Linked DNA regions of Macaca fascicularis. The protein of the gene in region 3 interacts with the protein of the main gene of each other region in a pairwise test. Links are inferred from orthologs where the notes say so. Each region holds a gene or a part of one and is shown on either strand. Other genes may lie near its edges.

Region 1 (11,035 bases), on a different chromosome or scaffold from region 3:
TTCTTTCTTTCTTTCTTTCTTTCTTTCTTTCTTTCTTTCAGACAGAGTCTCGCTCTGTTGCTCAGGCTGGAGTGCAGTGGCATGATCTCGGCTCACTGCAACCTCTGCCTCCCAGGTTCAAGCGATTCTCCTGCCTCCGTCTCCTGAGTAGCCAGGACTATAGACACCCGCCACCATGCCAGGCTAATTTTTTTTTTTTTTTTTTTTTTTGTATTTTTAGTAGAGATAGGATTTCACCATGTTAGCCAGGCTGGTCTTGAACTCCTGACATCAAATGATCTGCCCGCCTCAGGCTCCCAAAGTGCTGGGTACAGGCGTGAGCCACCGCACCCAGCCTATCCAAGTTTCTAGTGGGCATTTCTAACTAGCTGCCTAACAGACATCTCAAACCAAAACATCTCCCCACATAAACCTGCTACTCCCCACGTGTTTCCCATCATCTAGTGACTTAGTCAAAAACCTTGGAGCCATTCTTGACTTGGAGCTCTTTTTCTTTCATGCCCCACTTCCAGTCAACCAATAGATTCTGTCTGCATTACCCTGGGCATTTACCCCAAACCCAACCACCTCTTGCTCCTCTGTTGCCACCACTTGGGTCTAAGCCACTGTGTTTCACAGGAATCTTTGTAATAACGTTCCTGATTGGTTTCCTTGCTTTAACTCTTGGCCCCAACATACTATCTTCACGCAAAAACCAGTGTGATAATTCTAAACAGTAAGTCAGATCACATCCCTCCACTGCTCGTCACTCTCCGTGGCTTCGAGTAACTTAGAATAAAGTCTATAGTCCTTCCTCAGTGACGACTTTATGGCACAATATGATCTGGCCTCTGCCTACCTCTGACCTTATTTCCTACCACGTTCCCTCTGACTTTGACTACCAGGATCCCTTGCCCACGCAAAGCACAGTTCTGTGTCAGACCTGCCACTCCCTCTCCCAGGAACCTTCCTCTCCCAGCTGTCTGCATGACTGAGTCCCTCTCATTCAGGTCTCTTCTGAAATGTCAAATGTCATCTCCTCAGACAGGTCTTCTATGGCCACACCCTATTACTTGCAGTCCCCTTGCTGTGCTCCATTTTTTCTTCATATCACTGATGACTGATTGATGTATCTTTTTTTTGAGATGGAATTTCGCTTTTGTTTCCCAGACTGGAGTGCAGTGGCACAATCTCGGCTCACCGCAACCTTCCCCTCCCAGGTTCAAGCAATTCTTCTGCCTCAGCCTCCCGAGCAGCTGGGACTACAGGTGTGCACCACCACGCCTGGCTACTTTTTGTATTTTTAGTAGAGATGGGGTTTCATCATATTGGTCAGGCTGGTCTCGAACTCCTGACCTCAGGTGATCTGCCTGCCTCGGCCTCCCAAAGTGCTGAGATTACAGGCATGAGCCACCACGCCCAGCCTGATTGATTGATACTATACATTCATATGCTTATCTGTTTATCATTTTTTTTTATTTAAAAAAAACAAAAAAACCAAACAACAACAACAACAACAACATTGAGACAGGGTCTCCATATGTTGCCCAGGCTGGGTTTTGAACTCCTGGGCTCAACTGATCCTCCTGCCTTGGCCTACCAAAGTGCTTGGATTATAGGCATGAGCCACCACATTCAGCTCTGTTCTTTATTTGACTCTCCCCTTTGACTATAAGCTTCCAGTAGTTATGGACTTGTTTATCCTGTTCACCTAGTGCCTTAAATAGTGCTTGGTACTTTGTAGGGCCCTGATGAATATTTGTTAAATGAATGAATGACTGAATTAATAAATAAATGAACTAACATAGAAATAGTTTTAAGTGTAGTACAGCCGTTATGGAAAACACTATGGAGGTTCTTCAAAAATTAAAAATAGAACTACCAAGGCAGGGCGTGGTGGCTCACATCTGTAATCCCAGCACTTTGGGAGGCCGAGGCAGGCAGATCACCTGAGGTCAGGAGTTTGAGACCAGCCTGGCCGACATGGTAAAACCCTGTCTCTACTGAAAATACAGAAAAAAATTAGCTGGGCGTGGCAGCACACGCATGTTTTCCCAGCTACTCAGGACGCTGAGACAGGAGAATCTCTTGAACCCGGGAGGCGGAGGTGCAGTGAGCCGAGATTGTGCCATTGCACTCCAGCCTGGGCGACAGAGTGAGACTTTCTCTCAAAAAAAGAAAAGAACTACCATACGAGCCATATAATCCAATAATCTCACCACTGGGTATATATCTGAAGGAAATGAAATCATATTTGAAAGACATGTCTACACTCCCATGTTCATTGCAGCATTATTCACAATAGTCAAAATATGGAATTAACCTAAGTGTCCATCAATGGATGAATGGATGAAAAAATGTGGTATATATACTCAATGGAATACTAGTCAGCCTTTAAGAAAGAAGGGAATCCTAGGCCAGGCGCGGTGGCTCAAGCCTGTAATCCCAGCACTTTGGGAGGCCGAGACGGGTGGATCACGAGGTCAGGAGATCGAGACCATCCTGGCTAACACGGTGAAACCCCGTCTCTACTAAAAAATACAAAAAAAACTAGCTGGGCGAGGTGGCGGGAGCCTGTAGTCCCAGCTACTCGGGAGGCTGAGGCAGGAGAATGGCGTGAACCCGGGAGGTGGAGCTTGCAGTGAGCTGAGATCCGGCCACTGCACTCCAGCTGGGCGACAGAGCAAGACTCCGTCTCAAAAAAAAAAAAAAAAAAAGAAAGAAGGGAATCCTGTCATTTTCGACCACATGAGTGAACCTAGAGGTCATTATGTTAAATGAAATAAACCAGGGAACAAAAAGACAAAACCAGGTGATCTCACTCATGTGGAGTGGAAAGCTAAACTCATAGAAGTGGAGAGTAGAGGCCGGGCACAGTGGCTCACACCTGTAATCCCAGCACTTTGGGAGGCCAAGGCAGGCAGATCACCTGAGGTCGGAGTTCGAGACCAGCCTGACCAACATGGAGAAACCCCGACTCTACTGAAAATACAAAATTAGCCAGGTGTGGTGACTCATGCCTGTAAGCCCAGCTACTGGGGAGGCTGAGGCAGGAGAATCGCTTGAACCTGGGAGGTGGAGGTTGCAGTGAGCCAAGACTGTGCCATTGCACTCTAGCCTGGGCAACAAGAGTGAAACTTTGTCTCAAAAAAAAAGGTGGAGAGTAGAATGGTGGTTATCAGGGAGGGGTTGCAGAGAGGTTGGTCAAAGGATACAAAATATCAGTTAGAGAGAAAGAATAAATTAAAGGGATCTGTTGTATAACATGATGCCTATAGTCAATAAAAATGTATTGATGGACCAGACGCGGTGGCTCATGCCTGTAATCCCAGCACTTTGGGAGGCCAAGATGGGTGGATTACCTGAGGTAGGGAGTTCGAGACCAGCCTGACCAACATGGAGAAACCCTGTCTCTACCAAAAATACAAAAAAGTTAGCCGGGGGTGGTGGTGCATGCCTGTAATCCCAGCTACTGGGGAGTCTGAGGCAGGAGAATAGCTTGAACCTGGGAGGCAGAGGTTGCAGTGAGCAGAGATCACACCACTGCACTCCAGCCTGGGCGACAGAGCGAGACTCCGTCTAAAAAAAAAAATAAATAAAAAAACAAAACAAAACAAAAAAAGTGTTGATGACTATAGTTAATAAAAATGTGTCATATTCTTGAAAATTGCTGAGAAATTTTAAGTATTCTCACCACAAAAGAAAATTGTGAAGTAATGTGTATCTTAATTAGTTTAATGTAGCTATTGTACAATGTGTACATATTTCAAAACAACAGGCTATCATGATAAATATATACAATTTTGATTTGCCAATTAGAAATAAATAAAAATAGGCCGGGCGCGGTGGCTCAAGCCTGTAATCCCAGCACTTTGGGAGGCCGAGGCGGGTGGATCACGAGGTCAGGAGATCGAGACCATCCTGGCTAACACGGTGAAACCCCGTCTCTACTAAAAATACAAAAAGAAATTAGCCGGGCATGGTGGCGGGCGCCTGTAGTCCCAGCTACTCGGGAGGCTGAGGCAGGAGAATGGCGTGAACCCGGGAGGCGGAGCTTGCAGTGAGCCGAGATCGCGCCACTGCACTCCAGTCTGGGCGACAGAGCGAGACTCCGTCTCAAAAAAAAAAAAAAAAAAAAAGAAATAAATAAAAATAAATGAAGAAATAGTTTTGGAGGGATGCTTCAGGCTTCTGATTTTTGTGAATTCATTGCTCATCGATACTCATGTCTACCTGCAAGTGACATGTGTTTGCCATGGTAATAACATTTATTTTCCCAGACAACTGCAATTTTATTTTATTTTTTGAGACAGAGTTTCGCTTTTGTTGCCCAGGCTGGAGTGCAATGGCATGATGTCGGCTCACTGCTACCTCTTTCCCGGGTTCAAGCAATTCTCCTGCATCAGCCTCCCGAGTAGCTGGGACTATAGGAGCGCGCTAGCACCCCTGGCTAATTTTTGTATTTTTAGTAGGGACGAGGTTTCACCATGTTGGCCAGGCTGGTCTTGAACTCCTGACCTCAGGTGATCTGCCCCAGCCGCCCCCGGCCTCCCAAAGCGCTGGGGTTACAGGAGTGAGCCACCGTACCTGGTCAGCTACCAATGTTTTTAAAGTTTCAACTGTGGGTGGATTTTTAATTTTGTTTGTATGAGATTGAAAGTAGTAGCAGTAATTTATACCCACGATTAGTCCTCTAAGATTTTACATCCTAAAGACATATCTTTATGGCCGGGCGCGGTGGCTCAAGCCTGTAATCCCAGCACTTTGGGAGGCCGAGACGGGCAGATCACGAGGTCAGGAGATCGAGACCATCTGGCTAACACGGTGAAACCCCGTCTCTACTAAAAAATACAAAAAACTAGCCGGGCGAGGTGGCGGGCGCCTGTAGTCCCAGCTACTCGGGAGGCTGAGACAGGAGAATGGCGTAAACCCGGGAGGCGGAGCTTGCAGTGAGCCGAGATCGCGCCACTGCACTCCAGCCTGGGTGACAGAGCCAGACTCCGTCTCAAAAAAAAAAAAAAAAAAAAAAAGACATATCTTTATTATATTTATCACTACATTTTATTCATGACAAGTTTTTGGATCTCAACACACATCCTTGGAAAACTCAGCCTTTCATTTCTGTCATGGTGACACCTGGGAAAGACTGACAATAGGGTTCAGGGCCTCTGAGAGGTGAGAAATCCAACCAGTCTAAGCAACTAGCTTTAAGGACCAGTGTTACCACAGTTTTTCCTCTACCAAATATCTTCTTTCTTTCCTCAATACCTTCCTTTCCCCCTAGCACCCCTGAGCAAATGCCTCCAAGCCTAGAGTTTGGTGGTCTTAGTAGACCCGAGCCTGGGTATTGAGAGGAGACAGCACTGCTGTGTAAGAAGCTCCTAAGTGTGGACTAGGACCTTCTGCCTAAATCAGGGCAGGGTGGAGCTCACCACCCTGAGTCACTCACCTGTCCAGGCTGCGGGGAGTCACATGCAGAGTGCTGGACTCCAAGGTCCTTCCTCTGATTGTCGAAAGGGTTGGAGTGACACCATCCATTGTATCAGGAACCTTTGAGATGCTCTCTGGTTTCAGCTTCTAAGTTTCTCTTAATCATAATCAGTTAGCCAGCATGTCTGCCACTTCTCCCCACCCCCACAACAAACTGCCTATCTTGTGTCTACCTCTGAAATGTCAGGCCAAGTTGACCCAACATACAAAAGCAACAGGTTTGGTTCTACCTGGACGTGGCTAATGCCCGCTGCAGGAGGTGCAATCTCATCCGGACGTGGTGCTTCCAAGTGAGGTGGCTCAGGGAGAATCTATGGCCTCTGCCTTCTGGTGGAAATGTGAGGGGCACAGAGGGGGAAACTGCCAAGAGGCTCAGGAGAGGCTCCGTGAGAAGCTCATCTTCCTTCAACACCCAAAGCAGAGTGAAAAGAGCAAACCACTTTGCCAGAATGGAAACAGAGAGTCAGTCACCGGAAACGACACCACCAATGTGCTAATGAAGCACAGGGCACAGGAAACGCTGCTCAGCTCTTAATCTGCTAGAAGAAAACATATCTTTAACCCACCGTTCCCTGGGTTTGCCAGGTGCTCTGTGGTCTGTGATGAGTGTGATTAAAAATGGGGCAGGGTAGTAGAGAACTTGTGATTCTTCACCCTGGGTTTCTGAGACACTTAGAGTTTTACAAGTCTTCAGTTTTACAGTGTTTTCTAAGCAAGTTAAGGAGCACTGGAGGTTGCCTTTTAGAGTCAAATGCAGATCTCCGGGACCCTCTTCTGATTCAGTGGGTGGAGGGTGCAGAGGGGGCAGGCTTTGGATGTCAATGCTTTGCAGGTGAATTTGATGGAGCTTTCAGGTGATTTTGATGGAGCTGGTCTGTTTCATGTTTTGGGAACCTCTTCTCTGGGCACTACCTTAAGAATAGAGGTTATGCTGGCTTAGCAGGACCCCTGCTCCCCAAAGGTGACCTTTCACAGCTCCTGGCTGCTGGTGATCTCCTGTTCTCAGGGCTCTTCTGAAGATCAGTTGCAGTCTTACTTGTCACACATCTGTCTCAGAAGCTGAACAAGTTCATCCCTAAGAGCTACCCAAAGTGTTCCAAACTTTGAAGATCATTAAAAATTTGTTGCTAACTCCCCTCCCTTCTTGAGCCTACTAATCTCCAGAAACACTCTTTGCATCTTGGGAGAGTCCAAAGAGAAGGGGCCACTAAGACTGTTGTGAGGATGTGAAGAAGAACTTCTCTGATTGCACTTTCCACGGTGAAATGAATTCCCAGATGAATGGAAGGGCAGACCAGCAGTACCCTCCTAGAACCATGCCTCCCTCCCATCTCTTCCCAGTGGACATTGAGGTCCTCAGCTTTCCTGAGGTGACAGCCCCTGGCTTGTCTGCATCCAGACTCTCACAGAGTCCCCAGGGGCTGCAGACTGGCCGTGGCTGGCTTTCCACAGAGCTTCATCATCCAGGTCCTGGACCCCTTCCCTCCTAGGAGCTTCACCTGGTAGGAAGCAGAAATAGCTCAGAGGCAGCTGGTGCTGGAGCTGGAACCTGGGTCTCTGCCCACTTCTCCTTTGGATCAGGTCTGAGTAGGAACTAGGACTACTCACAAGATCCATCATGCTGGTGGCAGGGACTGGGGTCCTGGGCCATTGGAACCAATAGGGACTGTGTGTGAATCAGGACCTTGGAAGGCAGTACAAGGAAAGGACACATGGAACCAAACCTCAGAACCATGAATGCTACTCAAAAAAAAAAAAAAAAAATTCTTTCTTTTTGAAAGAACTTTTCCATTGCATGTGATCATTTCAAGGCCTCACTTATCTTATCTACCCAATCTGCTGCAGTTAGACCAATCTTCCCTCTGATTGTCCGATTCTCTCCTGCCCCCACATCTGAGGGGAATCACCACCTCAGAGGCAGCTGCACACGTTACCTGCCCCAGGCTGCAGGTGAGTGCCAGGTTTCCAGGCCCCGGCTGTGCCCCTCATCCTGCTCTCCTTTCCTTCCCCATGGGGCAAAATCCAATCAAACTGACAAACTAAAACAAAAAGTCGGTAGCTGAAATGATTCATCATAATAGCGGGGAAAAAACAAAACACTGGGAAATGGGGTGTTTTGTTTGTTTGTTTGTTTGTTTGTTTTTTTGAGGTGGAGTTTTGCTCTTGTTGCCCAGGCTAGAGTGCAATGGCGTGATCTTGACTCACTGCAACCTCTGCCTCCCTGGTTCAAGCGATTCTCCTGTCTCAGCCTCTAGAGTAGCTGGGATTACACGCATGCACCACCACACCCAGCTAATTTTGTATTTTTAGTAGAGACGGGGTTTCTCCATGCTGGTCAGGCTGGTCTCGAACTCCTGACCTTGGGTGATCTGCCCAACTCGGCCTCCCAAAGTGCTGGGATTACAGGCAGGAACCACCGCTCCCGGCTAAGCAGTGTATGTTTTAAATCCGATTGCTCTAGTGGTGTTGATGGTGTTGTTTTTTTCTGAGACAGGGTTTCACTCCTGTTGCCCAGGCTGGAGTGCAGGGGCATGCTCTTGCTCACTACAACCTCCACCTCCCAGGCTCAAGCCATTCTCCTGCCTCAGCCTCCCAAGTAGCTGGGACTACAGGCACACGCCACCATACATGGTTAATTTTTGTATTTTTAGTAGAAATGAGGTTTCAACATGTTAGCCAGGCTGGTCCAAACTACTGGGCTCGAGTGATCTGCCCACCTCGGCCTCCCAAAATTCTGGGATTACAGGTGTGAGCCACTACACCCAGCCTGCTCTAGTGTTTTAACCACTTTTCATGATTTTCTGGGGTCGGATGTTACATATGATTGTTACCAGACCCCAACGCTTACCCAAAGTTAGCCGTTGGGTTACGGGTTTCTGCGTTATAGTCCCTTCAGTGGTTGCCAGAAAGGTGTTACAGGAAAGGGGTCCTGATGCAGACCCCAAGAGAGGGTTCTTGGATCTTGCCCAAGGAAGTATTCAGGGTGAGTCCACAGAGTAAAGTGAAAGTAACTTTATTAGGAAAGTAAAGGAATAAAAGAATGTCTACTCTATAGACAGAGCAGCCTCAAGGGCTACTGGTTGCTCATTTTTACGGTTATTTCTTGATGATATGCTAAACGAGGGCTGGATTATTCGTGCCTCCCCTTTTTAGACCATATAGGGTAACTTCCTGTTGTAGCCATGGCGTTTGTAAACTGTCATGGTGCTAGTGGGAGTGTGGCAGTGAGGATGACCAGAGGTCACTCTCATGGCCATGTTGGTTTTGGTGGGTTTCAGCTGCCTTCTTTACTGCAACCTGTTTTATCAGCAAAGTCTTTATGTCCTATATCTTGTGCCAACCTCCTATCTCATTCTGTGACTTAGAATGCCTTAGCTGTATGGGAATGCAGCCCAATAGGTCTCAGCCTCATTTTACCCAGCCCCTATTCAAGATGGAGTTGCTCTGGTTCACAAGCCTCTGACAGAATTCTAAAGTGTTAAGACTGGTTTTTGGCCAGGCACTGTGGCTCACACCTGTAATCCCTGCAAGTTGGGAGGCTGAGGCAGGTGAATCACCTGAGGTCAGGAGTTTGAGACCAGCCTGACCAACATGGAGAAACCCCATCTCTACTAAAAATACAAAAAATTAGTTGGCCGTGGTGGCACATGACTGTAATCCCAGCTACTCAGGAGGCTGAAGTAGAAGAATTGCTTGAACCAGGGAGGCAGAGGTTGCAGTGAGCTGAGGTCATGCCATTGCACTCCAGCCTGGGCAACAAGAACAAAACTCTGCTCAAAAAAAAAAAAAAAATATATATATATATATATATGTGTGTGTATATATAAAATATATATTATATATATTTTTGAGGGGAGTTTTATATATATTATATATATATTTTATATATATATATTTTTTTCTTCTTTTTGAGAAGGTGTCTTGCTGTCTCGCCCAAGCTAGAGTGCAGTGGCGTGATCTTGGCTCACTGTAACTTCTGCCTCCCAGGTTCAAGTGATTCTTCTGCCTCAGCCTCCCGAGTAGCTGGGACTACGGGCGTGCACCACCACATTCGGCTAATTTTTGTATTTTTTTTTAGTAGAGACGGGGTTTTACCACATTGACCAGGCTGGTCTCCAACTCCTGACCTTGTCATACACCTGCCTCGACCTCCCAAAGTGTTGGGATTACAGGTGTGAGCTACGCGCCCGGCCTATTTATTTACTTTTTAAGACAGAGTCTTGCTCTTGTCGCCCAGGCCAGAGTGCAATGGCACAATCTTGGCTCACTGCAACCTCCATCTCCTGGGTTCAAGTGATTCTCCTGCCTCAACCTCCTGAGTAGCTGGGATTACAAGTACTCACCACCACGCCTGGCTAAATTTTTTATTTTTAGTAGAGACGGGGTTTTGCCATGTTGGCCAGGCTAGTCTCAAACTCCTGACCTCGTGATCCACCTGCCTTGGCCTCCCAGCTTGCTGGAATTACAGGCGTGAGCCACCGTGCCTGGCCTAGACTGTTATTTTTGTATGTGTTTTTTTTTTTGTTTTTTGTTTTTTTTGCGATGGAGTCTTGCTCTGTCAATCAGGCTGGAGTGCAATGGCGCGATCTCAGTTCACTGCAATCTCCATCTCCCAGATTCAAGTGATTCTCCTGCCTCAGCCTCCTAAGTAGCTGGGATTACAGTCAAGTGCCACCACACTCAGTTAATTTTGTATTTTTAGTAGAGATGGAGTTTCACCATGTTTGCCAGGCTGGTCTCAAACTCCCAACCTCAGGTGATCCGCCTGCTTCAGCCTCCCAAAGTGCTGGGATTACAGGTGTGAGCCACCGTGCCCGGCCCTAAACTGGTTTTATTTATTTATTTGTTTGAGACAGAGTCTCGTTGTGTCGCCCAGGCTAGAATGCTGTGGCATGATCTAGAATCCCTGCAAACTCCACTTTCCGGATTCCAGCGATTCTTCTTCTTCAGTCTCCTAAGTAGCTGGGATTACAGGCCATGCCACCATGCCCGGCTAATTTTTGTATTTTTTGTAGAGACAGGGTTTCGCCTTGTTGGCTAGGCTAGTCTTCAACTCCTGAGCTCAAGTGATCCAGCTGCCTAGGCCTCCCAAAGTGCTGGAATTACAGGCATGAGCCACAGTACTTGGCTTAAGATTGGTTTTAAATAGAAATAATTTATGTATCTAAGTCCACAAAGTCCCTTGGTGGGGATGGGGGAACTACATGTTATTTTCATGATGTTGCTAACACCAGAAACTTTGCAGAAGTTCTCTTTGTGAAGGCAGAAAGCACATGTTAAAAGCATCAACCTGAGTTCAAGTTCTAAATTACTTCCTGGCTGACCTTAGCAGTTCATTTAATCTTTTTGGGTGTTTCCTTGGTTGTAAAATGACAATAATACTACTACTTATGTAATGCTGTTGTGAGAATTAATTGGACCAACAACGAAAAATGCTTGGTGTAGGACTAGGCGTATTTAAGAGCTCATTCAATGGGGCTACTATTATGACACTAGCTCATTTCTTTATTCTTAATGGATCCCTTTGGCCTTTCTCTTTTTTTTTCTTGATGTTTACTTGCCTGCC
Region 2 (10,400 bases), on a different chromosome or scaffold from region 3:
AGAAAAAAGCCAAAGTGAATAGTTGTTGAAGCTGGTCAATGGGCAGGTACATGGGTGTTCATTACACTATTCTCTCTACTTCTGAATGTGTTTCAAATTTCCGGTGGAAGGGTAGATCATGCCTGTAATCCCAACACATCAGGAGGTCAAGACAAGAGGATCACTTGAGCCTAGAAGTTCAAGACCAGCCTGAGCAACATAGAGAGATGCCATCTCTATGAAAATAACTATAAAAAATTGGCCAGGGGTACATGTCTGTGGTCCCAGCTATTGAGAGGCTTATTGCCTGAGCCCAGAAGGTTGAGGCCGCAGTGAGCCGTGATCACACCACTGCATTTCAGCCTGAGCAACAGAGTAAGAACTATCTCAAAAAAGAAAAGAAGTTTCCCACAGTAAAACCGCACCACTGTCCATTTATAGCATCTATTTGGTTAAATACCAGGATTTTGCTTTAGATCTAGCAAAAGCCAATAGGCTCATTAGTTAGTGTGTTTTTAGCACACACTTATCCTTGGGTTTAAAAGGACACACATACACGCACACACACAATCCTCCTAAGTGCTTATACTTGCTGTAATCTAAATAAAATACAGCTCGAAGAATGCAACTATCATTTTTTAAAAATCAACTCTTCCACAGTGAAAATGATTTAAAATTTCATTGAAAGACATAACTGTCTCAAGTTACCCAAATATAATGAAGCTACATTTTTCATATCACTTTCAATTACCCAATTAGACAAAACACTCTAAATGTCACAAGTAAAATGGCAACAAAAAAAAAATTCAGCTGGCTACTTTTCCTAATTTACTCATATAAACAATCATTTCATTGTTAATAATTAGTAAATTTGAGAAAATTTGCCAAAAGCAAACTTATCTCCAGTAAACAGGACAAAGAAGAGGCCTCATAAGTTTTTAACTTTAAAAAACTTGGGCCGGGCGCAGTGGTTCACACCTGTAATCCCAGCATTTCGGGAGGCCAGGGCAGGTGAATCACCTGAGGTCAGGAGTTCAAAACCAGCCTGGTCAACATGGTGAAACCCCCAACTCTACTAAAAATACAAAAATTAGCCGGGTACAATGGCACACACCTGTAATCCCAGCTACTCAGGAGGCTGAGGCAGGAGAACCGCTTGAACCTGGGAGGCAGAGGTTGCCGTGAGCCAAGATCACGCCATTGCACTCCAGCCTGGGTGACAAGAGTGAGACTCTGTCTCAAAAATAAATAAATAAAAATCATTTAAAAATAAAATAAAAATAAAAACTGGGAACTAGCATTATTCCTATTTCCACACCTGTTTTCAACCCAAATCATTTTATTTCATATTGACCTCAGCTAGCACAACAACACGTTACTAACTGGTTGGGCCTTTTTTTTTTTTTAAGGTAACTATCAAATCAATTTTAAATATAAGATAATTTTCCAAAATGATAAATTTGTACTCGTATATCGATTTACTGAAACCACAGCAACCTGTCAATAACATCAAAGGATCTTAGTTTGAAGACGGTGAAAATAGGGTAATTATAGGTTTCTGGATGTTGGTCATTTGTCAAATTTTAAAATAAATTTTCAGAGACATGGGCAAAAATAGACATAAGGAAGTGCTGTCATCTTCTTTGCAGAGAGAGAACCTTAGAATATTCTCACAGAGAGAAAGAGAAAAGGAGGGGCCTGCTTGCCCCAGGGCACACAGCCTCAGAGTTCCACTCTTCCCTTAGAAAATAGGGAATAAATTACATGACTTCCTTTTATACGGTGGTCTAACAAAGTAGGAAGTCTCAGTATAATTAAAATAATCCTTCCTATGAGTTACTTTCAAGAAATAGAAGCAAATGAACTACGCAAAATAAGACTACAGGGAAATAAATAAAAGTACGTGTATTTCTCCAACTGTTCTAGGTCCTTCATTCACTGCAGTTTGTTTCTTCTCTTCAGAAATAAACTTAACTGGCCGGGCGCGGTGGCTCAAGCCTGTAATCCCAGCACTTTAGGAGGCCGAGGCGGGCAGATCACAAGGTCAGGAGATCGAGACCATCCTGGCTAACACTGTGAAACCCCGTCTCTACTAAAAATGCAAAAAATTAGCCGGGCGAGGCGGCGGGCGCCTGTAGTCCCAGCTACTCGGGAGGCTGAGGCAGGAGAATGGCGTGAACCCGGGAGGCGGAGCTTGCAGTGAGCCGAGATCGCGCCACTGCACTCCAGCCTGGGCGACTAAGCGAGGCTCTGTCTCAAAAAAAAAAAAAAAAAAAAATACAAAAAACTAGCCGGGCGAGGTGGCGGGCGCCTGTAGTCCCAGCTACTGGGGAGGCTGAGGCAGGAGAATTGCGTGAACCCGGGAGGCGGAGCCTGCAGTGAGCTGAGATCCGGCCACTGCACTCCAGCCTGGGCGGCAGAGCGAGACTCCGTCTCAAAAAAAAAAAAAAAAAAAAAAAAAGAAATAAACAAACTTAACTTTGTTAACAAAATACATTTGTGGATCACCATAAAACATGAGCATAAAGGGCTACAGTCATTTTGTTCCTGTGCTTAGCAGAAAACTGAAGTAATGGTCATAGAACCGTGGGCAATTAAAGAAAAATCTGTAATCTTCAACATAAATTCTTTTGAAAAATATGAAAAACTGTATGTTCACTGTTCAAATATGCACCCTTTTAGTCAAAATTAATAATTCCATCCATCCTTGCTTCAATGACACAACAGTTCTTATAAACTGCAACCTAAGATCCCACTGTGTCCTCTCAAATTAAATACAAATATGCTATAGGCAGTAAACAATGGGACATAAACAATGCATATTTTAGACAAGGAATATGATTTTTCTCCCCTTAATAATAATCAATAAGTACAAACTTAATTTTCATATTTCACTTTTTATTAGTTTTTTTTTTTTTTTTTCTGGTAGACAGTACACTTGAGAATTATACTGCACCAGGCATAAAGAGTAAGATTTCTACCACGGGGACATTTTGTATTCAGAATTCAATATAAATATTTCTAGTCAGACATTTCCATGGCTACAGATATTTGGTTCCTTGATTTATATGCATAGAAAGAAACAGTTGTCATAACTGTAAAAAGCAGTACTTAATAAGTACTTTTAAATGATTGGAACAGTTTTCCTTTAATATTACAATACTACTTATTTATTGGTTTGGAAACTAGGTCACCCTACATGATGTTTTGATTTTTCTCAAAGGCATCATGAGTACTCTGCTTATTCTTTCATTCTTGTATTTTTAGCCTTCTAGTTGAGTTAGGGACCATTTTATCAGAAATCATTCTAGCACTGTAATAAGAAAAGCTCTGTTAAGGGTAGATTATATACCATAATGATTTTCAGACTTCTTTTTATAAAAAAGGTATCTGGAGACTCTGAACAGGCACATGCATACTCAGGAGGAAGGGAACAAAACACGGAGGAGTGTGCCAAAGCACAAAACTTCCTTCTGGTCCTCACTGCCTTCAAATAAATACAAACATTTAAAAGAAAAAAAAATCTCACACTGTGATTTAAAAAAAAAAAAAAATCACTATTTTCCGTGTTTCCAGGAACCTGTGGCAGGCTCGGAGATCAGTCGTCTGTCTTCCGGGCTAGCCTACAGAAGGTCCAGTTGTGCTCCACTGTGTTTTCATTGGCCCGCTCACTCATGTGATGCACCCGGGTGTTGCGGATCGTGAAACCTTGTTTTGTAATGTATTCCATCAGGTGGACCCTAAGAGAAACTTCCTGGTGATAATCACAGGGTCCAAAAGTAAAGGAAACCTGGCAGTCTCTGGTGTCCATCATGTGTTTATTCCACTTGGTAAAATAATTTGAGATGCCTTCTAGTAAGGAATGGACCTTGGTGGTGATGGTTAGTTGGGTTATGATGACAGCCACTGGGTTGGAGTACTTAGAAAGCTTCCGAGTACTAGACAGCTCCACAACTTCTTCAAAAGTATCCATGGGATACAAAGGCTTAGGATCATTGAGACACTGAATCAAGGGCTCAATCTGGTAAAAATCTGCTTCTTTCCGAAGCAGATCAAATTCCTTAAAATCCAACGGTAAGGTCAATTCTGAAGTTCTTAAGAAGTTGAGGACATATCGGAAAAGAGGTCCATCTCGATCAATAAAGTAATTGCCTTGAGGGTCTCGAGCTGTGGGGAAGTCCCCCCCAAACATAGCTCCAAGCATGGAATCCGGGTAACGCGTCAGTGTGGTGAGAGACGTTGTATACAAGTGTCCACCTACATTTAACGTGACTGGGTCAGTCATCTGAAATTTTTAAAGAAACAATCAGTCACCTGAAATTTTTAAATACCAACTTTGACAAATTAAGAAAGTAAGTGATACTGAGCAAAGCCCAAGATTCTTTCAGGCTATAATGTATTTAGTAATCCTCTAATGCAAAATGACTTTACTACCAGCAATAAACCCACCCAGATGAAGCGATCTAACATTTGCTTTCAATAGAAAAAAAAACAAGGATAAATCCAATTATGTAAAGACTTACGCTAAGAATCCAGGGCACTGACTTCCAGAGCCACATCATTTCAGGCCCATTATCTACAGAATGTTCAGGTCAGAATATATTGTGAGAAGGGAAAAGCCACGCTAAAATACACTTATTTTTTTCTGATTTTTTTTAAAGGCTTGCATTTTTCTGAACTTAATTTAACATAAGATAGAATTAAAATGATCTGATAATATAGACATTTACTTTCAGCATTTCTTTGGGTTTTTCCCCTTCAAACAAAAGGAATAAACAATGAAATTTGTTTTTAAAATAAAAATTTGGGCTAGGTGCAGTGGCTCATGGCTGTAATCCTAGCACTTTGGGAGGCCGGGGCAGGCGGACTGCCTGAGCTCAGGAGTTCAAGACCAGCCTGGGCCGGGCGCGGTGGCTCAAGCCTGTAATCCCAGCACTTTGGGAGGCCGAGGCGGGCGGATCACAAGGTCAGGAGATCGAGACCACAGTGAAACCCCGTCTCTACTAAAAATACAAAAAATTAGCCGGGCGCGGTGGCGGGCGCCTGTAGTCCTAGCTACTCAGGAGGCTGAGGCAGGAGAATGGCGTGAACCCAGGAGGCGGAGCTTGCAGTGAGCCGAGATCGCGCCACTGCACTCCAGCCTGGGCAACAGCGTGAGACTCCGTCTCAGAAAAAAAAAAAAAAAAAAAAAAAAAAAAAAAAGACCAGCCTGGGCAACATGGCAAAACCCCATCTCTATTAAAAATACAAAAAAAAAAAAAAATTAGCTGAGCATGGTAGTGCCTGAGTGGTCCTAGCTACTTGGGAGGCTGAGGTATGAGAATCACTTGAATCCGGGAGGCGGAGGCTGCAAGTGAGCCAAGATCACGCCACTTCACTTCAGCCTGGGCAACACAGAGAGATTCTGTCTCAAAAATAATTAATTAATTTAATTAAAAACTGTGCAGACTTAATCTTGGTAACTTTTTCATGGAAGTGATACTTTCAAATACTAAGTTAAAATATACAGTTTAGTCAAAAAATCATCACATACCCAAAAGCTAACAGCAGCCATAAAATTTCATAATCTGATAGTGTATTCACTTTTGTAACATTAATGTTGCAATCTGGCCTTTAATTTTGAGAAGCAAGCTTCTCTTAAAAAACATACCTTCAGTTTTAGAAACACTACTTAAGAAAAAAACAGGCCAGGCGTGGTGGCTCACACCTGTAATTCCAGCACTTTAGGATGCCAAGGAGGGTGGATTACTTGAGCCCAGGAGTTGCTGACCAGCCTGGGCAACATGACAAAACCCTGTCTCTACAAAAAATACAAAATATTAGCCACACATGGTGGTGCCCACCTGTAGTCTCAGCTACTTGGGAGGCTGAGGTGGGACAATCACCTGAGCTCGGAAAGTCATGAGCCGAGATCGCGCCACTGCACTCCGGCCTACGCAAAAGAGCAAGACCCTGTCTCAAAACAATAAAAAAAAAAAAAAAAAAGAAAGGAAGAAAGAAAAAAAGAAAAGAAAGAAAGAAAAAAAAAGAAAAAAAGAAAGAGACTTCGGGTACTAGGCAAGTAAAATATACCTTACACCAAAGGAATAGAAAAATAGGGAGACATAAGCACACACAAAAAAAGGAGTAGGAGAAGATGCACTTTCTCAACCATTAATCTCCCAAACCACAATAAAATATCCTCCATATCATTACTCACTAGATCCTTTTGTAGTCACTATTCACGAAGAGTCTTCAGAGCAATATACTTTAAAAAATAAAAAATCACGTTACTTCTCCAGTGATTATAAAAAGTATTTGGAGAATCCATTTTGAGTTTGCTTCCATTAAAACACCAAAGACAGGAGGATCGTTTGAAGTCAGGAGTTCGAGACCAACCTGGCCAACATGGTAAAACCCCATGTCTACTAAAAATACAAAAATTAGCCAGATGTGGTGGTGCACACTGATAATCCCAGCTACTCGGGAGGCTGAGGCAGGAGAATCTCTTGAACCTGGGAGGTGGAGGTTGCAGTGAGCCAAGATCACACCACTGCACTCCAGCCTGGGCAAGAGGGCAAGACTCCACATAAAAAAAATTTAAAAATAAAATAAAACTTTTAAAAACACCACACAAGACAAAAACAACCTCCAAACTACATCTAAACTAAGTAAAAGGGGGCAGAGAGGTTACACAAATTCACAATTTTCTTTTCTTATAAGATATACCTAAAAATACATGTTATCCTTATGTACACACAAAAATAATTCCCCAGCCTTCAAAATGCATCTCCAAGAAGCACTCACCATATAGCCCCAGTCTCCATTATCCATCTGCTCCAGTGATGCGTCTTCAAGAGCCCAGGTTTCAGGGAAACTTCAAGAGGAGAAAAACAGACATATGATAGCATATATTAACTATGAACATAAAGAAGAAAGGTTTTTTTCCACCCAACAGAGGAGGCCAAACACCAGAAAAACTACTCATCCTTGCTCAGCTGAAACCTACTGCAGGGCAAAGATCTGGGGAAGAAAGCATTCCCCTAGGGCCTTCATGTCCTGTATTCTTACCATAGAGAACCCATCTGGAACTAAGAGACTGAAGATTTTCAGAGAAAGAACTATCCGGTACTTAAGAGAAGGAGAAAGAGTCTAGGAAGCAACCCAGTCATTCAAATTCTACCTCTCTTCTTAGAAAATCAATTTTTAGAATTTATATAAGAGAACATTATGATTAACTCTACAACCTTATCCTGGTACAAACCTATAATGGTCCTCACCAAAAAGGTCATTTAAGAAAAAGGGAGAGGCGGGGCGCAGTGGCTCATGCCTGTAATCCCAGCACTTTGAGAGGCCGAGGCAGGCGGATCACCAGGTCAGGAGTTCAAGACCAGCCTGCCCAACATAGCAAAATCCCATCTCTACTAAAAATTCAAAAAGTTAGCCGGGCGTGGTGGCGGGCGCCTGTAATCCTAGCTACTCAGGAGACTGAGGCAGGAGCATCACTTGAACCTGGGAGGCGGAGGTTGCAGTGAACTGAGATTGTGCCACTGCACACCAGCCCCTGCAACAGTGCGAGACTCCATCTCAAAAAAAAAAAAAAAGAAAAAAGGAAAAGGGAGAAGGGGAAAACTTCTTTTCATCAGTGTTTCGGCTGTACAAGCCAGTCACCTGAGTAAAAGCATCAAAAATCATAAACCTCCCAGGACACCAGCATCCCTTTCCCAGAGAAATACATCAGAATGGTATTTATCTCATAATATAAAAAATAATAATGATGATGTTTTTTAATAATGATGTAATTCTCTTTGTACAACAATTAAATAGAAAGCGATTTAAATGCCAAACTGTTAAGAGCACAATTTGGGGCGAAAAGAACCTTACCAATACAGATGAGACTCAATCAGCCAGCACTCATGGAGAGCCAGCCTTAAGACACTGAGAAATGCTCAGATACTAATGATGCCAATGTGAATTTATTTTTATCTACAATTCAAAAGCACTTAAACAAACAGTTTCCCAGCTACTGAACTGCCTTAGTCAGTTCCCTCTCACACACTTCAATCCCAAATCAACCTGCAAAGCAAACTGCAGAGCAAATTTCTAAAGCTCTGGCAAGAGATGGTAAGAAACATGGAATTATTGGTATTCATCCAGGAAAAGCACCAGCTTTTTTACGTGGTCCTTTAACAGATCCACTTTTCCCACTTTTAGAGGAATCTGGCACAGAATTCCCAGAACAAGCCCTGGCTATAGAAGATCACAAAGGCTCTTTCTCAAAAGGTCACTCAGGCATGTAGAGAACATTTGCATAGCACAGCATGGGCTGAAATCAGAGCCTGAAGCATCTATTTCTCTACCTTGCAAATCCTTCAAAGCACACAAACTAAAATGTGGACCAGGCTATGGGGCAGTCAGTGTTTATTCTTTACACTCAGCAGCTGGATAGAGATAGGCCTCCACATGCTATGGGGTGAGAAATGGAACAAATGTCTAATTCAAGACTGTTACGACAGTCTTTCATTCCTCTGGCTTGCTTCACAAATAGTATCCGAGGTAAACAGGACCAAGAAATGGGCTTTGCCAATTTGTCTTGCCAGGATCTGATTCAGTTACTGATAACAACAGATTAGCAACTGAGCAATTTAAAAGGCCACTCATCCAAAAGTGCTGGTAAGATGCTCATCTTTGGCATTTTCCCATCACCCAAAGTATTCATTCCTGACAGCCTCAATAATCATTCATTCAACCAACAATTATTGTGGGTTATCTATGGAGTGGAGGGGATGCCTATGTGCAATGTGGATACACAGAAAGAGGAAAAGAACAATCTTTGCCCTCATGGAGCTTTCCATCTATAATGGAAGGCAACATGCAATGACTGAAGTACAGAACAGAATTCAAAGCGCTATGTAACAGATGGACCAGCAGAGGCCTGCAAGAGGGGAAAAGCAAGATTCCAAATGGGAAAATGGAGGACCTCTGGGAAGAGCCCGCTCAGTTGAATCCTTGAAAGAAAATTTGGACAACCTAAGAAGGGATTCTAGAAAGAAGAAACAATTTAAAAGACAGGGGCATGAAAAACTTCTTCCCCCTACAACATTCCTGATACCAGTAGGCTGAGCATGGATTACTATCCTCATCTTAAAGATGCAAAACAGAGAAACAAGGCAGATTAAGTGACTAGCTGGAGGCACCACAGCTGGGAAGTAACTAGATAAGAACTCGCATGTTCTGACTCTTAGTCTAGATTTTTCCATAAATCCCCTCCTAGGGTAGAAATTGAAAGAACAGAATCCAAGAGACAAGAAATTGAAAAAGATTAACTTTAAACTCTCTATAGCCATCTATTAACCCTATCCACCCAGTAGGGTTTTATTTACAAATTTTACAGTAACTCAGCCTAACTAGTCATAACGGGTTTGTAAAAATTTTCCTGAGGCCCTCCCCCGCCACCAAAAAAAGGCAGGAACCCATTCAACTAGTGTGAATAATGGCTGCTGTCCTCTGTCTGTAGTGACATAAAGAACTCCAATCCATGAATATCCAAATGATTAAATAAGAAACAGAAGATCAAAGACAAGGAAAAAAGCAGACATCAATGTTGCAGCCGTTAACGAAAAGCCTGTCCACTATTAACCCTTTTTTCTTTTTTACTGCTAAATCAAAACAAGATAACTTCTTGAGCAGTTATCTAAAAAAAAAAAAAAAAAAAAAAAATTAGATGCTGTCCCTGAATCTGTTCCACAGCAAAAGCAAAAGTTCCGGTACAAAGATGTAATGAAAGCTCACGCTTAATAATTCAGGAAAGCAATTATAGGAATCTACAGCCCATGTTTCTTAAAAAGCACCCAAAAGGCTTCCTATACTTGTGTATAAGATGCATCAAAATAAATTGAAGCAAAGTTGGCCGGGCGCGGTGGCTCAAGCCTGTAATCCCAGCACTTTGGGAGGCCGAGACGGGCGGATCACAAGGTCAGGAGATCGAGACCATCCTGGCTAACACGGCGAAACCCCGTCTCTACTAAAAACACAAAAAATTAGCCGGGCGAGGTGGCGGCGCCTGTGGTCCCAGCTACTCGGGAGGCTGAGGCAGGAGAATGGCGGGAACCCGGGAGGCGGAGCTTGCAGTGAGCTGAGATCTGGCCACTGCACTCCAGCCTGGGCGACAGAGCGAGACTCCGTCTCAAAAAAAAAAAAAAAAAAAATGAAGCAAAGTCACTATTAGTCACTTCCAATAACAATGACTAAACTGTCTAAAGAAATCAAATTGTTCATTAAAGAGTTCAAAGGGAAAAAACAGTATTGATTAGTTTAAATTTTATCTCTAGCTGCTTCTAAATATCTTCTGTGGAGATACTTAAATACAGCAAGAAACAAACAAACAAAAAAGCACGAAGAATTCCTTGTTATACAATAGCTGGATAATGATCAATTTCTGA
Region 3 (10,868 bases):
GTGGCGGGGCCCGGTGTTCAGGGCCAACAGAAAACAACTCTACTTCCCAGAGTAGGGGGAAGGGCTTGCGGGACTGAGGCCTGGGCCAGGGGCCTGGATGTGGCGGGAGCGTCCCTGTCCGCCCAGTACTCCACGCCCCGCCCCCACGGGACAGGCTTATAACCTTTTAGGGTGCAGGGCCCAGGTGAGAAGGTGAGAAACCCCTGGATGACTCCTAGTAGAAGGGAGGACCCAGGACTCTGAGGCCCCGCCCACTCTCACTCAGGAAAAATACCCAATGAGAGAAGGCGGGGCAGCTCTTTTAAAGTTTAATTCGGGAAGAATGCTGGAGTGTCTGTGCGGTTAATCATTACAGGCTGCCTGCTTCCATGAGGTCCCCCCACCCCGCACACAGCAGGATATCAGGAGAGAGCAGAGTCCAAGACCGGCGGACCAAAAGGGAGCATTCCTGGTGGGCAGTGAGGCTGGAGCGGGGCGGCGAGGGGGGGTTCCACCTTGCCGGCAGGTGCATTCCCTGTCCTCAATCTGCCAGGGAGACCCAGACCGGGTACCTGGGTCTCTCCTTAGCCTCATCAAGCAGAGGAAACCATCTGCCATCCCCTACCCCACTCTCCCCAGGCCCCACCGCACTGCAGAGCCACTCACCCACCCCTCTAGCCTTCCTGGCCACTTCATGCTGAAGCCAGGAGGGACCCCGGCTCACCCGGCCTCCACTTTCCCACCCGAGGGCCGGAGGCGATGTTGCTGAGCAGGGCATACAGTCTGGAGAGATGGAGCCTCAACAATTTAGAGGATCCCTCTCCTTCACCGTCCTCCAAAGTGGAGGGGGCCCTCCCCACATCTCCCCGCAGCCCGCGGAGACGTCTGTCTTAGAGACTTGGGGAAACCCAAACTGGGGTAAACTGGGCGAGCCAGGGAGTGAGGGCGGCTCTCCCAGGGTGTGCGGGGAGGGGCCAGTTTCAGCGGGAAAGCCAAGTCGGAGGAGAGAATCAGGTCTTCCTTCCCATTCTCGCTGCTGGCTTCGGGGAGGTGTACCGGGAGGGAACAAGGAGGGCTGGAAACCAGGATGGGGACGAAAGAGGGCGGGTGGGGAGGAGGGGGCGGGGTGGGAGATGGGAGGAAAAGAGAAAAGTGGGAGGCCGAGCAACCCAGCAGGAGACCCAGCCTTTCCCTACCGGCCCCCAGACCGGCCGTGCCTGCCCCCAAAGGATGAATGCCCGCTTGGGTTCTTACCTGAACCCCGAACATCAGGACACCCGGCTGGGACCACGTCTTCAGGGAGGGAGACGCCAGGCCCTTAAGTACCTGTCCCCCTCCAGCCCCCGCCCCGGGCCTGACATCACCGAGCGGGGGAGGGGGAGAGCCAGGTGGCTCCAATCCGCCCACCTGGGCCGACGGCCAGTTCGGCCGGAGACGGGCACAGCCTGGGGCCCTGGTGCGGCTGGGGGTTGCCTGGCAGACTGTTGTCTGAGACCGATCTCTGTCCCCTTACCTGGAGGAGCCCCAGCAGGAGTAGCAGGACACCCGTTCCGAAGTCTGGCTCCGTCTAGGAAACCCCAGATTCCTGGATTTTATTTCAGATCCACTCCCGCTTCTCTACAGGTGGTAGGAGGGTGTCCCGACTTCGGACAGAGAAGTCAGGGCCGGGGGAGCCCTGTGTGTCCAGATTCCAAGCCCAAGGAAACTAAAATTATCTTGGGCAGATGGGGGCGTGTCCAGGGGAGGCGCCTGGGAGGAGGAAGCCTGGGAGGAGGGTGGGGACTCCCTGACACTCTACGCCAACTGGGATTGTTTTTGCCCTTCCTAGCCTGGCAGCAGGTGCCAAGAGAGGGTGCAGGTGCCTAGGAAGAGGCGGGGAAGACAGCCGAACAGACAGCACCAACAGCGAAGATCAAGAGTCCCGACCACCTGGGAGGGCGGGGGGAGGGTCTGAGGGCTGCAAGGTAAAGGGAACCACCGGTCCACTCCTCCCAAACATCCTCCCTGAACCTGGTCTGTTCATTGGCCAAGCCAGGGGGCACTTCTGCAGCTCTGGATCCCACCCCATGGAGCAAAGAGCACCCTGCCAAGGAGGGACGCCAGCCACGGGGGTGTCCAGCAACATGGCCTGCCCGTCGATCTGCAGGCACCCATACCATGGTGGCTGTGCCCTGGCCCCTCAGAGGCACCCAGGGTAAGCCCCTCTCCCGCCCCCCACCTTCTGAGCAAAGTCTAGAGTCTTGGCTTCCCCTTTAAAATCGAGGGGCTTAGGCTGGGTGGCACAGTGGGAGAAGCCATGGTGACCCAGAGAAAGCTCTGGCCTGGGCCCCTGGAGATTCCTCTTAGAGGGATCACTTTATTTTTTTGAGACAGAGTCCTGCTCTGTCACCCAAGCTGGAGTGCAGTGGCGCCATCTCGGCTTACTGCAAACTCCGCCTCCTGGGTTCAAAAGATTCTCCTGCCTCGGCCTCCCGAGTAGCTGGGATTACAGGCCACACACCCAGCTAATTTTTGTATTTTTAGTAAATCGGGGTTTCTCCACGTTGGCCACGTTGGTCTCGAACTCCTGACCTCGTGTAATCTGCCCACCTCGGCCTCCCAAAGTGTTAGGATTACAGGTGTGTGCCACCGCACCCGGCCTGAGGGATCGATTTAGTTCTCTCAGGGATCACTTTAGCTCTCTAGTTCAGCACTGGGCAAACAGGGTACTTGGGAGAAGGGTTGGGAGGCAGAAATCAAAGGCTGTGGCCACCACCCAGCTTGATGCGGGTGACAGGAAAACAAACAATCCTTAGGGTGATAAGAGGTCCACCATGGGGGGGCACAGAGGAGTGACTCCTGCCTCAATTTTCTCCAGAGTTTTCCTAGGAAAACCGGTATGAACGTGCCCAGCAAAGAAGTGGGGGAGGAGGCAAGGTCTCTTGGGTGATGGAGCAGCTTGTGCAAAGGCAGAGTAGACAATTCACTCATTAATTTATTCAACTCTCTGTTCAGTACCTACCATATGCCAGCCCCATGTTTGGTGCTGGGGATACTGGGGTAAGCAACAAAAACAGACCCCACCCTATCCTCACACAGCCAATCAGGAAGATTGATGTTAATCAAAGAATCACACAAATAAGAAATGACAGGAGACAACTATGCTGGGAGAATGACTCACATAGGGAGTCAGGAAAGACTTCTCTGTGGAGGTGACAGCTGAGCAGAGGAGAAGGTGGCTGACATGGGAAGGGGGTTGGAATCAGTGGATGGGAACTGGGGAAGGAGGCCACCTTCCCAAGTGAGGAAACCACTGCCAGAGCTCTGGAGAGGAGGGGATGCAGCATGCGGAGACAGAGAGTGGGGTTGGAGGAGAAAGGAGGAAGCAGAGGCCACGTGGGTGAACCTGGACAGGTGTGGAAGGTGTGGAGAGAGGCGGCTATGCTTCTGCAAATGTGGCCTCCAGACCTCCCTAACCTTGTGTGGAAAACAGATCCTTGGGATCCTCTCCAGCAATTGAATCTCAGTCTGTGGGGCTAAGACACAGGAAGGTGTGGTATTGACAAGCCCTCAGGTGGCTGTTCCGCAAGCCAGGTTTGAGAGCCATCCATCCTGTTTGTCCAGATGGGCAGGAGTAGCGGTCAAAGACCAGACCCTTCAAGTTGTATTTAGACTTAAGTAGAAGCACAGAGGAGAGGGCACATTTACATTTTAGAAAGATCATCCTGGATGGTGAAGGATGGGATGGAAACGAAGCCACGGTCAGAGGGCTGAGTGCTGTAGGAATCAACTTATATGGCTTTCTGGAGGGGGTGGAACTGTGTGAACAAAAAGCAGGTCTGGGGTTGGGGAGGAGGGAGAGGGGTCCACAGTAGGGGGCACAGGGACTTGTGGGAGGTGATGGGACCATTCTGTATCTTGGTTGTGGGGTTGGATGCACAGCTGTGTGTGTTTCTTAGGACTCATAGAAAGGTACACTCAAGGCCGGGCGCGGTGGCTCACACCTGTAATCCCAAGACTTTGGGAGGATGAAGTGGGCGGATCATGAGGTCAGGAGTTCAAGACCAGCCTGCCCGACATGGCAAAACCCTTTCTCTACTAAAAATACAAAAATTAGCCAGGCGTGGTGGCATGCACCTAAAATCCCAGCTACTCAGGAGGCTGAGGCAGGAGAATCTCTTGAACTCAGGAGACAGAGGTTGCAGTGTGCTGAGTGTGAGCCATTGCGCTCCAGGCTGGGCAACAAGAGTGAGACTATCTCAAAAAAAAGAGAGAAAAAAAGAAAGGTACACTCAAGAGGATGAATTTCACTGTGTATAAGTTGTATCTGAATTTTAAAACAACAACAACAAGGCCGGGCATGGTGGCTCACGCCTGTAATCCCAACACTTTGAGAGGCCGAGGCAGGTGGATCACGAGGTCAGGAGTTTGAGACTAGCCTGGCCAACATGGTGAAACCCCGTCTCTGCTAAAAATATAAAAATTAGCTGGGCGTGGTGGTGTGCACCTGTAATTCCAGCTACTCGGGAGGCTGAAGCAGGAGAATTGCTTGAACCCGGGAGGCAGAGGTTGCAAGGAGCCAAGATGGTGCCACTGCACTCCAGCTGGGGCGACAGAGCAAGACTCCATCTCGGGGGAAAAATAGTAATACTAATAAATAAGAATGAGTTTATAGGTCAATGGAACAGAATCCAGAGTCCAAGTAGAAACCCTTTTACATTTCTCAATTGATTTTACAGGGTGCCAAGACAATTTGATGGAGGAAAGGATAGGCTTTTCAATAAATGGTACTGTGATCAATTGAATAGCCACATGCCAAAAGGTGAATTTAGATCTTTTGCTCACAGAATGCATTAAAAAAAAAAAAAACTCGATATAGATCATATACCTGAATGTGAGAGCTAAAACCATAAAACTTCTAGAAGAAACCATGGGAGATAGTCTTCGTGGAGGCCGGGCGCGGTGGCTCACATCTGTAATCCCAGCACTTTGGGAGGCCGAGGTGGATGGATCACCTGAAGCGGGAGTTCAAGACCAGCCTGGCCAACATGGAGAAACCCCATCTCTACTAAAAAAAAAAAAAAAAATTAGCCAGGCATGGTGGCGCATACCTGTAATCCCAGCTACTGAGGAGTCTGAGGCAGGGGAATCGCTTAAACCAAGGAGGCAGAGGCTGTGGTGAGCCAAGATGGTGCCATTGCACTCCAGCCTGGGCAAGAAGAGCAAAATTCCATCTCAAAAAAAAAAAAAAAGAAGAAGAGGCCAGGCATGGTGGCTCATACCTGTAATCCCAGCACTCTGGGAGGCCGAGGCAGGTTAATTGCTTGAGCCCAGGAGTTTGAGACCAGCCGAGACAACCTGGCAAGACCTCATCTCTACAAAAAATATAAAATTTATCCAGGCATGGTGGTGCGGGCCTATAGTCCTGGCTACTTGGTGGGGCTGAGGTGTGACAATCGCTTGAGCCTAAGAAGTTGAGGCTGCAGTGAGCTGTGATTGTGCTACTGCGCTCCAGTCTGGGTCACAGAGCAAGACACTGTCTCAAAAAAAGAAAGAAAAAATGAAGCCAGGTGAAGTGGCTCATGCCTGTGATCCCAGCACTTTGGGAGGCAGAGGCAGGCAGATCACTTGAGGCCAGAGATCCAGACCAGCCTGGCCAATATAGCAAAAACAGCCTGACCATTGCTACTAAAAATACAGAAAATTATCTGGGCCATGGTGGCACATGCCTGTAATCCCAGCTACTTGGGAGGCTGAGGCACAAGAATTGCTTGAACCTGGGAAGTGGAGGTTGCAGTGAGCCGAGATTGTGCCACTGCACTCCAGCCTGGGTGACACAGTGAGACCCTGTCTCAAAAAAAGAAAGAAAGAAAAAAAAAAAAGAAAAAAGAAAAAAAATTAGCCAAAGACTGGGAGAAAATAGTTGCAAATCATATACAACTATATATGGTTGTATATATGGTTGTATATATTTTGGTTGATATCCAAAATATATAAAGAATTTTTACAAATCAATAATAAAGAGACAAACAATCCTAATAAAAATGGGCAAAAGACTTGAATAGATATTTCTTCAAATATGTATATGAATGACTAATAACTACATGAAAGATACACAACAGTCATTAGATAAATGAAAATTAAAACCACAATTATATATCATGTCATGTCCACTAGGATGGTTATAATCAAAGAGACAGAAAACAAGTATTGGTGAGGATATGGAGCGACGAATCCTCATATATTGCTGGTGGGAAAACTTTGAAAAACAGTCTAGCCGTTTCTTAAAAAGTTAAACGCTAGCCTGGGCAAAATGGCAAAACCTTGTCTCTACAAAAAATACAAAAAAATTAGCTGGGCATGCTGGTGCGTGTCTGTCGTCCCAGCTATTCAGGAGGCTGAGGCAAGAGAATAGCTTGAGTTCAGCAGGTTGAGGCTGCAGTGAGCAGTGTTTGCACTGCTGTATTCCAGCCTGGGCAACAGAGCGAGACTCTGTTTCAAAAAAAAAGTTAATCATAAACTTAACACATGACCCAGCAGTTCTACTCTTAGGAATCTACCCAAGAGAAATGAAAACACACACCTATGCAAAGACACCAAAACATCTGTGGCAGCATTCTTCAAAATAGACAAAAAACACTGGAACCTTAAATATCCATCAACTGGTGAATTAAGAAACAAAATGTGGCAAAACCACACGTGGAATACGACTCAGCAATGAAAAGGAACAAACTACTCTAGACGCTACAGCATGAATGCATCTCAAAAAACATACTGAGTGAAAGAAGCCGTAAGCAAAAGACCACATAGCATATTATTCTGTTTATATGAAACATCCAGAAAAGGCAAAGTTAGAGACAGAAAGCAGATCAGTGGTTGCATAGGACTGGAATTGGGAGCTGAATTGACCAGAAACAGGTGGGAAGGACTTACCAGGTTGACGGAAACATTCTGTAACTGGATTGTGGTGATGGTTAGGCAACTGTACAAATGACAGCATTTTCTTTCTTTTCTTTTTTTTTTTTTTTTAACACAGTCTCACTCTGTCGTCCAGTCGTCCAGGCTGGAGTGCAGTGGTATCTCAGCTCACTGAAACCTCCACCTCCCAGGTTCAAGCGATTCTCCTGCCTCAACCTCTGGAGTAGCTGGGATTACAGGTGTGCGCCACCACACCCAGCTAATTTTTGTATTTTTAGTAGAGACAGGGTTTTGCTGAGTTGGCCAGGCTGGTCTTGAACTCCTGGCCTCAAGTGATCCGCCCACCTTGACCTCCCAAAATGCTGGGATTACAGGTGTGAGCCACCATGCCCTGACTGTTTATATATATATATATAAAAGCCCAGGTGCAGCGGTAATCCCAGCACTTTCAGAGGCCGAGGTGGACAGATCACAAGGTCAGGAGTTTGAGACCAGCCTGGTCAACATGGTGAAACCCCATCTCCACTAAAAATAGAAAAATTAGCCAGCGGGGTGGCTGGCGCCTGTAATCCCAGCTGCTCAGGAGGCTGAGACAGGAGACTCACTTAGGCCGGGAGGTAGAGGTTGCAGTGAGCTGAGATCGCGCCATTGCACTCCAACCTGGGCAACAGAGAAAGACTCCGATTCAAAAAAAAAAAAAAAAAATACAAAACTTAGCTGGGTGTGGTGGCTAGCACCTGTAATCTCAGCTACTAGGGAGGCTGAGGCAGGAGAATCGCTTGAACCCAGGAGGCGGAGGTTGCAGTGAGCCGAGATGGCACCATTGCACTCAAGTTTGGGTGACAGAGCAGGACTCCGTCTCAAAAAAAAAAAAAAAAAAGAAAAAGAAAAAGAAAAATAGCCTAAAGAGACACTAGAGTGAGTGGCGTGCTAGGATACCATAGCGGTACTGCAGGCAGGGAAAAGGCAGCGAGGACCTGAGCAGCCTCCATTTCCAGAGTTGCAAAATGGGAATAATGACACCAGTCCCCCAGTGAGAGGCTGGATAAGAAGGGGATGTGCAGGAACTGTTGGGGGCACACAGCCTGAAGAGTGTCTACGGTTCTCCAGTGCAGGCAAGAGGCAGTTACAAAAGACTGGAAAAAGCAGTTTAGAGCTTTGGGATCAGAAACACTTGGGTATGTAACTATAGGGCGGTTCCAAATGGCATCAGCGCCGGGCGTGGTGCCTCACGCCTGTAATCCCAGCACTTTGGGAGGCCAAGGCGGGCAGATCATTTGAGGTCAGGAGTTCGAGACCAGCCTGGCCAACATGGTGAAACCCTGTCTCTCCTAAAACAAACAAACGAACAAAAAACTGGGCCGGGCGCGGTGACTCATGTCTGTAATTCCAGCACTTTAAGCAGGCCGAGGAGGGTGGATCACCTGAGGTCAAGAGTTCGAGACCAGCCTGACTAACATGGTGAAACCCTGTCTCTACTAAGAACACAAAATTAGCCGGGTGCGGTGGCACGCGCCTGTAGTCCCAACTACTTGGGAGGCTGAGGCAGAAGAATCGTTTGAACTCCGGAGGCGGAGGTTGCAGTGAGCCGAGATCGCGCCATTGCACTCCAGCCTGGGCAACAAGAGTGAAAAAAAACAACAAATGCCATCAGCATGTGAGCGAGAAAATGTCAACTATTTCATACATCAGCCACACCCACTCCCATCTCCAGGATGGTTGCCCCACCGCTTTCTCTTTCTTTTGTAAACTGAAAAGCGCTCTGCAGTCTAAGATAGTCCATTAGAGTAAATGAAGCCGTGAAGTCCGGCGGACATCGGGAGTGGGGGAAGCCCGGCATTCCGGGAGACCGGGCCGGGGAAGGAGGGTCTGTACCGGTTCTCCCAGACTCTGCCCGGGGCGCGAGCTCCGGAGCTGCCGTACGAGGTCAAAACGTAGCAATGGCGGAGGCCTACAGGGGGCGCCCGGACGCCACGCTCGGCCCCGCCCCAACGCCACGCTCGGCCCCGCCACGCTCCAGAGGCCCCGCCCCGTCACGTGCCCGCTGAGCGCGTCACACCCGGAAGCAGGGGCCCGAGCGGAGCAGGCAGCTATGAGCGGGGAGCCGGGGCAGACGTCCGTAGCGTCCCCTCCCGAGGAGGTGGAGCCGGGGAGTGGGGTCCGCATCATGGTGGAGTACTGGTGAGCGGTCCCGGCTGGAGGACCCCTACCCTGGTCCCGTGGGCCGGACGGAGGTGGGTCCACGGGAGGCCCCACCCCCGAGTCCCCAGCCCAGCCCCATTTCTTCTCCCCAGTGAACCCTGCGGCTTCGAGGCGACCTACCTGGAGCTGGCCAGTGCTGTGAAGGAGCAGTATCCGGGCATCGAGATCGAGTCGCGCTTGGGGGGCACAGGTGAGGCTCATGGAACACCTGCTGAGTCAGTCTGTACTCTAAATCCCAGCTCTCCCGCTTTCTAGTTCTGACATTGGCTGCTTTATGTAAAGTGCCTGCAGTGCCTGGCACATGGTAAAATGTCCAGCCAACATGAGTTCCCTTCCATATGTCAGGGGGTTCACAGAGGCCTGCGGGGGAAAAAACCTATTAGACTGCAATCGTGTAGGGTTGGAGGGGAGGGAGTCTTTCATTGTTGCCAGGGGCACACAGGCGGGGCCTCCCTCAGGTTCCCTGGAGTTGACCCAGGGTTGGGGAATGGCTTAAGGAGCTACAAATGGGTCTCCAGTGGGAGTGGTGGGGGACCCCTTTGAAGGAACTCCTGATTTCTGCCTATGTTCTCAGTGTACCATTTATTTATCTGTTGATTTCTTACCAGGTGCCTTTGAGATAGAGATAAATGGACAGCTGGTGTTCTCCAAGCTGGAGAATGGGGGCTTTCCCTATGAGAAAGATGTGAGTATTTGCAGTGTTGGGAGGACCTCTGGGTCATCCTACCCCAACAGTGCATCATCCTGTCATTCCACATCTCTGTCCTCTAGCTCATTGAGGCCATCCGAAGAGCCAGTAAAGGAGAACCCCTAGAAAAGATCACCAACAGCCGTCCTCCCTGCGTCATCCTGTGACTGCACAGGATTCTGGGTTCCTGCTCTGTTCTGGGGTCCAAGCCTTGGTCTCCCTTTGGTCCTGCTGGGAGCTCCCCCTGCCTCTTTCCCTTACTTAGCTCCTTAGCAAAGAGACCCTGGCCTCCACTTTGCCCTTTTGGGTACGAGGAAGGAATAAGATTCCATGGCCTTGGGGGCAGGAGAGAGACACTCTCCACGGACACTTCCCCAGCCACCTTATACCCCCTTCCCAGGATAAGTGCCCACAAAAGCCTGGTCCACTCTTCACCTCGGTAATACCTGTCTGATGCCACAGTAGATTTTATTTATTTTCCCCAACCCAGGGCAATGTCAGCCATTGGCAGTAAAGTGGCACTACAAACACTAATGCTAACTAGTGTGTGTTTTTATATGTCCAATCTGGGAATGTGGGGGGCACAGAAGTCCGGCCGGCCCAGCCTTTGTACCGCCAGGGTGGCTGTGCTGGCTTGGGTGGGCTTTCTGGACAGCTACTCCTTAGGTCAGTGAGCTCCTCTGGCATAGCCAAGGCAAGGAAAATGAGTCCCACAGTAGACCCTGCCTCGTCTTTCGCCCACTCAACCGCCACTCTCCTGACTCACAAGGAGGAAATAACCCCATTCTGGTGAGTGGCCTTAGGAATTCGTTCTAAGAAAGAATGATCTGGTTGTTAAAGGGCTCTCGGATCCGAATCCAGCTTCCCGATCCCCCCCAACCCTGAAGCTAGAGAACTGGATGTCAGGCTCCTCATCCAAGCTTTCTGAAGATTCCTGGTCACTCCCTCCAGGAAAAGAGGAGTTGAGTGTAAGGTGAGCAGGAAGGGATGGTGCAGAGCTACCCCCAGACATAGGCCGGTGCCTAACTGTTCTCCAAAATATATTTGCAAATGGAGAAAGTGGGTGTGGAGAAGGACCCCCCAGATCTGCCTCCCCATACAA

What was found.
Region 1: the proteins of GRB7 (region 3) and LAX1 interact in binary tests that used the Homo sapiens proteins (3 or more experiments, as listed by UniProt). The two-hybrid records come from large-scale screens. The link is inferred for Macaca fascicularis from reciprocal best matches to the Homo sapiens genes GRB7 and LAX1.
Region 2: the proteins of GRB7 (region 3) and KCTD6 interact in binary tests that used the Homo sapiens proteins (3 or more experiments, as listed by UniProt). The two-hybrid records come from large-scale screens. The link is inferred for Macaca fascicularis from reciprocal best matches to the Homo sapiens genes GRB7 and KCTD6.

What each region holds. Positions count from the first base shown.
Region 1 is NC_088375.1:61,585,479-61,596,513, reverse strand, and holds the start of LAX1 (lymphocyte transmembrane adapter 1), read right to left. Parts: upstream 5,894-11,035; 5' UTR 5,741-5,893; coding exon of another isoform or gene 5,700-5,740; exon of another isoform or gene 5,567-5,699; 5' UTR 5,518-5,566; coding exon 5,429-5,517; intron 1-5,428. UniProt on the Homo sapiens protein: Negatively regulates TCR (T-cell antigen receptor)-mediated signaling in T-cells and BCR (B-cell antigen receptor)-mediated signaling in B-cells.
Region 2 is NC_088376.1:121,607,742-121,618,141, reverse strand, and holds the end of KCTD6 (BTB/POZ domain-containing protein KCTD6), read right to left. Parts: intron 6,836-10,400; 5' UTR 6,793-6,835; coding exon 6,766-6,792; intron 4,265-6,765; coding exon 3,578-4,264; 3' UTR 2,861-3,577; downstream 1-2,860. UniProt on the Homo sapiens protein: Probable substrate-specific adapter of a BCR (BTB-CUL3-RBX1) E3 ubiquitin-protein ligase complex mediating the ubiquitination and subsequent proteasomal degradation of target proteins.
Region 3 is NC_088390.1:60,791,687-60,802,554, reverse strand, and holds the start of GRB7 (growth factor receptor-bound protein 7), read right to left. Parts: upstream 6,912-10,868; 5' UTR 6,892-6,911; intron 5,027-6,891; 5' UTR 4,847-5,026; exon of another isoform or gene 4,698-4,846; intron 2,174-4,697; exon of another isoform or gene 1,808-2,173; intron 1,687-1,807; exon of another isoform or gene 1,234-1,686; intron 1,055-1,233; exon of another isoform or gene 704-1,054; intron 1-703. Other genes in the region: MIEN1 (migration and invasion enhancer 1), read left to right, coding at 8,969-9,057, 9,171-9,268, 9,687-9,763, 9,850-9,933. UniProt on the Homo sapiens protein: Adapter protein that interacts with the cytoplasmic domain of numerous receptor kinases and modulates down-stream signaling. Promotes activation of down-stream protein kinases, including STAT3, AKT1, MAPK1 and/or MAPK3. Promotes activation of HRAS.